Daphnia pulex: one gene and its partner. The protein of the gene in region 1 purifies or fractionates together with the protein of each later gene. This does not show direct contact. Links are inferred from orthologs where the notes say so. Each region holds a gene or a part of one and is shown in the gene's direction. Other genes may lie near its edges. The genes, in order: COP9 signalosome complex subunit 8-like and DDB1- and CUL4-associated factor 1-like.

Region 1 (3,176 bases):
GCCAAGTGACGTGAGTAAGAAGAGGCTTCTGATTTTCAAATCGAAAATAAAATAAATTTGCATAAAACGAAAAATGTTTCTCGTTTCATCGTAGGTTTAAAATAAGGAAACGTATGTTATTTGGAGAGGAAAATGGGGGGGCTTTGTATTCCTTCCGCAAGTGTGTAAACTCTTTTTTCTTCTTCTTCCTACTTTTGTGGTTCTATTCTGTTCTTGTTTTAACCGCGAACCATATGCAAAGAAACAGACACGGGGGCCCCAATTCCCATGAGAGACTTTGAAATGTTAAAATATTCCGGCATGTTGTTCAGAAGAAAATTCTAACCAAGGACACCATTTATTCTTTCTCCACCCAAACCCCCAACTCGAGTAAAATGAAAAGCCATTAAAAAATGTTGATCTTACCGGTTAAAGATGACTATCCCAGATGGGAATCATGTTTATCTTAAAGACACGTGTAAAGTTGGAACAAAATAAAAACGAAGATAATCGCCACGAGTTGTGCACACACACACACACTAACGACACATGTTTCACAGCGTTTTCATCTGTTGGCAGAAGGGAGTAGACGAATAATAAACATTTGGCTCTACAACTTGTATTTTCAGCAGTGACTAAAGAGGTATATCCTCGCACGTGAAGTTCAAGAATGTGTCTGAGCTGGGACGGCCTTCCCGTCGTCCTTAACTATATCCCAACACATTTGTATATAACGGGGAGAGACTGGATTCCCCTCGGGCTAGACTTTTGAGAATTCCCATTGGTTGTAGCACATCCCCTCCCATAAAAGAACGGCGGGAACCTGTGATGAAACAGACTGCCGCCTACTAACGTCAGTCTGACGAACTAAAAGCAAGAGAAAATCAAAATAGGAAAACCCTTTCTCAACCGCCGCCACATTTCTGCGTTAAGATTTACCAATCATTAACTTTTTTACTTGTGAAACAATTACTTGACACTTCAAGGTTGTTTGAATAAATTATCTTCGAGAAAATAAAGCCAAAAATTGCTCGATAAGGACATTAATCTTCTTCCGGAGAAAAGTCGAATTCTTTCCTCATTTTTAGGAAATTTAAAGTAAAGAGTAAAGACGCTTGGATTTGTTTCTTGTTCATAAAATTTTGTAACCTTTTATAGTTGGCCACGGTCCCTACAAAGAACCGAAAAAAAAGAGGTATTTATATGTTTTTACTATGTAGCTTTAAAACCAGTTCCCTTTATAGGGCACACATTTTCAGAAGGTTTTCCATATTTATATTATATTGCATAAGTTTGACACGAGGAAATCTCATTCATCGCCCTCATAATTTTTTTTTATTTGTTAATTTCTCCATTTGACCATTTCTCGAAAATATACTGTCCCCTGGTGTCGATGATTGTTACTTCTTGCTTCGATCGTGGCAGACGACAAAGCATTATAAAAACCAAAAACAGTCTAATTAATTGCACACTGTTGGCTTGTAGGTACGGCCAAAATACTGAAGGTTGGCTGTAACTTGAACTTGATTTAAACAATCGTCGACAAATTTCATAAAATACGTCCTGGTTTCAAAAGGGGAAATGTCGTCTAAAGTTGTTTTATTTGAAAGTACCACCCAAGAACTGGAGAAGCAGGAACTCGAGGTACTGTTGTCGTTTTGTTGACGAAAACTTGGAACAATTAATTGCAATGATGTCTTTCCTTCAGGGTGCGAGCGGATTGGTTTTAGCAGATTTGCATAGTCAGTTACTCAGTATATATCTGTGTAATTTTGACTTGTAAGTATATTAGTTACATTGTAATGACTGGTGCTAATAATCAAGAGTTTTTCTTACGCTGATGTAGATGCAATGCTAAATTTCTTTGGAAACGAATCTCAAATGAAGAGAAAACTGCATTCCCCTTACTTGGCCAAATCTGGGAGGTAGGTCAAAAACTATGGTTAAAAGAGCACAATTCAGTGTTCAGCCTTCTCAGAAACACAAGTTGGCCTCCATCAATCGAACCTTACATGACCTGTCTGGAAGAAAATCTTCGGCAAAAATCAATTCAACTCATAGGTATATAGTTCAAGAACATCCTGAAAGAAATTTTCAATGAAAATGAAATGTGTTTATTATTTTTAGGGAAAGCTTATCTGTCCATAACTTCAACCACCTTCACTGAATTGGTTGGTTATGTTGATTATCCAGAGAATGCGGAAAAATTACTCGCGAAGCTACAGGAAGAGCAAGGTTGGACGTGTGATTCTGCTTCCAAATTAATCATACCTAAGCGACAAGCCGCCCAAAACGTTCCGTTGATGCGGAATGAAGAGCAATTGCAGAGTCTTACCCAATTCGTCTCGTTCTTGGAAAATTAAATCAACTGAATACGTTACTTATGTTTATACCCAAGAAAATAAACTTGATCGATGAAACGGAAATTATTTTACATATTATTTGCATACTATTCAATTGATAGCAACCAACACAGCTCAAAAAATTAAATTAGGAACTTTGACCCCAGGATCACTCGGACTCGGCAACGAATTTCAACTCTCAACATAATGAGAAAATACCACGTGATATTTTGTTTCCCGGTTGTATTTTCACTGCTGTTCTGTGTCATGGTACAACATCTGTACAAGGGGCAACGGTTGAATAGGAAGAGAAGCTCAAAAGTTCTATGCAAAGATAATCTTCAGAATCAGAGAGGGAATGACAGATCCCACAATTAATAAGCGATTCAATTCGCGAAGAAAAATTACTAGGGCGCTTGTCATCGTGTCAATAGATCACTTAGTCTGAGAATTAGGGAACACAGACCACACATACAAGGTATTAGTATTAGGATCCCTCATAGTCACTGCACCTAGACCGTCGGTTTCTTGAATAAGTTCGTCCTCATTGATCAGCTGGAGTTGCTGAACTTCCTGCATAACAAAAAACAACCGCAAATGTTTATTAAGTCAATTCATTAGAATATCCATGAAAGAGCTTACCTCATTATCAGCGTTTTCGTCACCATCCATATGGACTTCCATTTTGTTTCCGTCATCATCTTCGTCGTTTTCATCTTGTACGTGAATAGGTACAGCCACCATCTCTCCATCTTCATTGGGCACAATAGTCAGCATAACTGATCCTTCTTCATTTTCTTCATCATCTTGAATTGTTGCTACTGCAGTCGCTTCTTCGCTCTTTAATTGCTAAAA
Region 2 (4,302 bases), on another chromosome or scaffold:
CTCTTTACGACGTTTTTCATTGTCGGCATCGTAAGCAATATTCTTTGGCTCTGGTCCTGTTGTATGCCTTGCCTTAAAAAAAAATATACAGTTATTTTTTTACTAGGTAACACAGACACAAATATCCTTTACCTTGTTTAATATGTTGCAGATATCATAATATCTCTCCTTCAAGTCTTCGATTGACCTTTTTGAGAATCGTGTACTATCCCAGCGGTCCTGAATAACGGTGAAACGAAGATCAAATTGCCGACAGAGGTCAAACAAATGATCTGTTTCTTGCTTTGTCCAATTATCAAGTTGTAGTAATTGATATTCTTGATCAGTGTAAGAAAATATATGGACTTGCTAAAAAAAAATATTTTTATATAAAAGAAATTTTCAAATCAATTAAAAAAGATGGAAATCAACCTTGTTAAATTTAGCAAATGGATACTCTTTCCCTTCATCTGCAGCTCTACGCCAATGGTGAAATACAGCTCCATCTTTCCGTGCTGGGTTAGTAAAGGGCATCCACTTCCAAGGTCTCACTTTACGGACACCTAAATGAGCTTTTGCTTGCTTGTATCCTTTACCTGATTGGAAATATTTATGAAATCTTTGGCATACAAATATTTCTTTCCCTTACTGGAAGCACACAAATTGCAGACAGACAAAGTTGTTACCTGTGTCAGTTGGAAATAGAGGAGCTGCATCTTTACTATCATTGACCAAAAGATTGAAAAGTTCTCGTGCCATTCCCTCAGGTTTACGTAAAACTTCATTTTTAGGTTTGTATTTAGGTTTCGGTTTTTGCGTTCCCATAATACTTTCTTTCGTCACTTCTGGAGTTCCCGGTCTCCCTAGCTCCAAGATATCCAAAACATCAGCCATTTTTACTTTATTCCTCTTATGCCCGACGTTTTGATCCGACACGTGTCAACACTTACGACAAGAATGTGAGTAACTTTCAAAGTTCAAACCACAAAATATTTGAAGAAAATGTCACATAACAATCGTAAAAAAAAAACGTCCACAAAGATTCACAAAAAGGACGACAAAAGCAGACACAGTTTTTTAAGCACGCTAGGTAACCATAAGAAAAGCTATTGTTGTCAAGTTTATTGAAAAATCCAATTGTGAGAAATATCATTCAATTTGTAATATGAAAATTTGCTAGAAATTTTAAAAATATTTTAGCTATAATTTTATCATTTAAATCTGTATTCTGGAGGTCTAACTTCCTCAAACAAGCAAACAATGGAATTCGCAAGAATTTTCCAAAATATTAATCTGACAACGTTTTTTTCTCAAGTCTGCACATAGAAATTACACAGAACGTGGTGCACACTTCTGCAGCAATTTCAAAGAAACTTAATTTTAATAAGGGAAGTTGTAGTTTCAGATAGACGTAACAGTTCGAAGGTGAGTTTTTGTTGTTTATAATGCAATAGTTTTTTTTTAACTTATGGTGAAGATTTGTGACCCATTGAAGTTATTCTACTCGTGTTGTGAAATTGTGATTGGGTTCCAAAAACGTCCTTTTGTGTTTCATTTTGGCGTCGATAAGTTTCAGCTAATTTGTTCTTATTTACATTTAAGTCATCCAGTATGGCGAACGACACCGTAAATCTGACTGAAATGTCAGATGTCAGTGCTATTTTGAGGTTATTTGAGGAACATCATGTAGCACCAACATTTGATCCTGTTCCCTATCTTTCTAGGTATGTGTTATTTGTTTTTTTGCAAGATTTTTTTTTTCTTAATCATGTTAATTTTTGTTTTCAAGACTGGCTGAACTTTTGGAAACAGAAACAGAAAATTACCTAAAAATGGATCCAGATCCTTTTGATGATCGTAACCCTTCTAGGAATCCAAATTGCAGCTTTGGACACATGCTTAAAATAATATTCAAGAAGGAAATTTTTATGCAAAAAGTATTATTTTCATTTACTTGGCCTTGATCTTCATTCTAAATATAAATGCTATTTTTTCATTTTTCTTAATATTAGTTAGTTGGAGACTATTTACGTGACACTTACTGGACCAGATTAGGCATTTCTACCAGAGATTCAAGGGAACTCAATACAGCTGCAGCTCGTCTTGTTCTAGATTTAATGCCAGGCTTAGAAGTATCTGTGGTGTTTCAAGACACAGAAGGATTGATCAACAGACTTTTTAGTTGGGCAGAAAAAGGTCCAGAACCACTTCAAAGCTACGCTACTGGTTTGCTAGCTGCTGCGATGGAACTACAAGACTTGGCTGCTAACTTTCGTGAGTTAAACGCTCATCTAGCACCGTTAATGTTGAAAAGGTTATGGGAAATCCAAAAGAGATGTGCCGAAGAAAAGAAAAATGACGAACTCGGAAAAATCAAAAGATTTTCAAAATTTTCAAGCGACCAACCGAGTACCTCGAGCAAAACCCCAAAGAATACGGCGAGTAGTAAGAGTCGAGCATCTTCCAGTTCAAAGGTCCCAAAGGATGAAGATGCTGAATTAATGCCTGGACCAGAACCGGCCGATGGAGCCTCCGATAAAGGAAAATTGCCAAAGAATAACAAAGCAAAGAAATTTCAAGGCAGGATTAAAGGTTCCAAAGAGAGAAAAAGTGGAAATGCATCTCTGAATGGATCAGCTATGAATGATTCTAGCAACTCGTCTTGGGCCGAAATGGAATCATACGTCATCGGTAAAAGATTATTCTCCATGCAACAAGTGTGTCTGTAAAGTTAAAAAACTAACACTTCTTACTTTATTTATAGGAACGTATCAAATGCATCCATTGACGGACTCAACTCGGCAAATCTTAATCTTGCGATATTTAACACCCATGGGTGAATATCAAGAGTTACTAGTTCACATGTTCGAGCAAAAGGCGCTCGACCTTATTCTTAACTACATCGACTTTGACGAGACCCAAGATTCGCGTTTATCGTTCGAAGCACTTAAATATCTCGGAGCACTGCTTTGTCACAAAAAATTTGCCATCGAGTTTATTCATCATCAGGGATTGCATCGCTTACTTGAAATTCCACGGCCGAGCATTGCTGCAACTGGAGTTGCCATGTGTCTTTATTACATTGCGTATTGCGAAGATGCCATGGAGCGAGTCTGTCTCTTACCAGATCACGTCATTCAAGAGCTAGTCCGATATGCTCTTTGGCTACTGGAGTGTTCGCACGAATCTGGACGTTGTCACGCTACCATGTTCTTTGGGACATCGTTTCAGTTCCGCATTATTTTGGAACAGTTTGACGCCCAGGATGGTCTTCGCCGGTTGTACAATATGATCAGCACTTTGTCAATACTTTCAATGGAAGATGCAAGTGATTTGTTGGATGATGACGAATCTCATGCTGCACGCCAAACCGTTCGACACGTCTGTGCGGCGCTAAAACGATACTTTGAAATTCATCTGGCTGGGAAAGTTGAACATCTTCAACGGATCAGAGTTCGTGAAATGGGTGGTTCTCCCCATCCGTCAACACCTCCCTACAAAGCAATCAAGCTTAATGCAGATCAAATTATCGATCTAATCACCACTGCTCAAGAACTGCTTCCGTTTCGGGCAAGTTGGTCACCCGTCAATGAATTTGTTAGCCTCGGGGGTATCCCTCTGCTTCTACAAGTTATTGCAATATCCTACCTATGGAATTTTACCGGACGTGCCGAGACTGTTCGCAGCGCTTTGGTAAAGAAATTAAATATATTCTTAAAGTTAAATTATTAAATATATTTTATTTTATTTTGCAGGATGTTTTAGCCGTTTGTTCTGTTTCTTTCAGAGTTCAGATGCTATTTTGTGATCGTATTCAAATTCCGGATGACGCCAATGCTGTAGGCATTAATATTCTACTTGGAGCAGCTGAAGGAGACATTGTAGCTGACCCCGAAGTTCAGCGTGCCGCTCTTTGCGTACTCATTCACTGCGTTTGTGCTCCCGTCCATCGAGTTGGAGGTTCTGTCGGTAGATTTAATGGCAGTGCCAAAAGACGCAGCGTGGTAATTTCAATGATATTTTCTTATTGTAGAATTTATGTATTTACGCATTGTGCTTTGTATAGGCTAGTCGAACGAGCGAAGAGGTTCTCAACCAAGTTTGGGAGTGTGTACGATCCCACAATGGAATCATGGTGTTAATGGACCTTCTATCTGTTAAAACACCCATTACGGATGCTGACTCGATTCGCGCTTTAGCCTGTAAGGCCTTGTTAGGTCTTGCACGCAGCGAAAATGCTCGCCAAATCATGGGTAAACTACCCTTGTTCACCAGCGGTCAATTGCAGGTAAATCATAAAAAATAATTTCTTATTTTGTAAAT

Evidence for each region.
Region 2: the proteins of COP9 signalosome complex subunit 8-like (region 1) and DDB1- and CUL4-associated factor 1-like purify together in Homo sapiens (affinity purification with mass spectrometry; 4 studies listed by BioGRID and IntAct, counting the BioPlex papers as one, with this or other methods). This does not show direct contact. The link is inferred for Daphnia pulex from reciprocal best matches to the Homo sapiens genes COPS8 and DCAF1.

Annotation. Positions count from the first base shown.
Region 1 is NC_060017.1:2,513,304-2,516,479, reverse strand, and holds COP9 signalosome complex subunit 8-like, read left to right. Parts: upstream 1-1,414; 5' UTR 1,415-1,560; coding exon 1,561-1,623; intron 1,624-1,687; coding exon 1,688-1,758; intron 1,759-1,825; coding exon 1,826-2,040; intron 2,041-2,106; coding exon 2,107-2,342; 3' UTR 2,343-2,405; downstream 2,406-3,176. Other genes in the region: zinc finger protein 724-like, read right to left, coding at 2,757-2,894, 2,964-3,170. UniProt on the Homo sapiens protein: Component of the COP9 signalosome complex (CSN), a complex involved in various cellular and developmental processes.
Region 2 is NC_060022.1:4,447,271-4,451,572, forward strand, and holds the start of DDB1- and CUL4-associated factor 1-like, read left to right. Parts: upstream 1-1,275; 5' UTR 1,276-1,404; intron 1,405-1,581; 5' UTR 1,582-1,590; coding exon 1,591-1,703; intron 1,704-1,768; coding exon 1,769-1,916; intron 1,917-1,991; coding exon 1,992-2,670; intron 2,671-2,743; coding exon 2,744-3,672; intron 3,673-3,734; coding exon 3,735-3,983; intron 3,984-4,045; coding exon 4,046-4,267; intron 4,268-4,302. Other genes in the region: mRNA export factor GLE1-like, read right to left, coding at 1-72, 133-348, 412-575, 666-873. UniProt on the Homo sapiens protein: Acts both as a substrate recognition component of E3 ubiquitin-protein ligase complexes and as an atypical serine/threonine-protein kinase, playing key roles in various processes such as cell cycle, telomerase regulation and histone modification.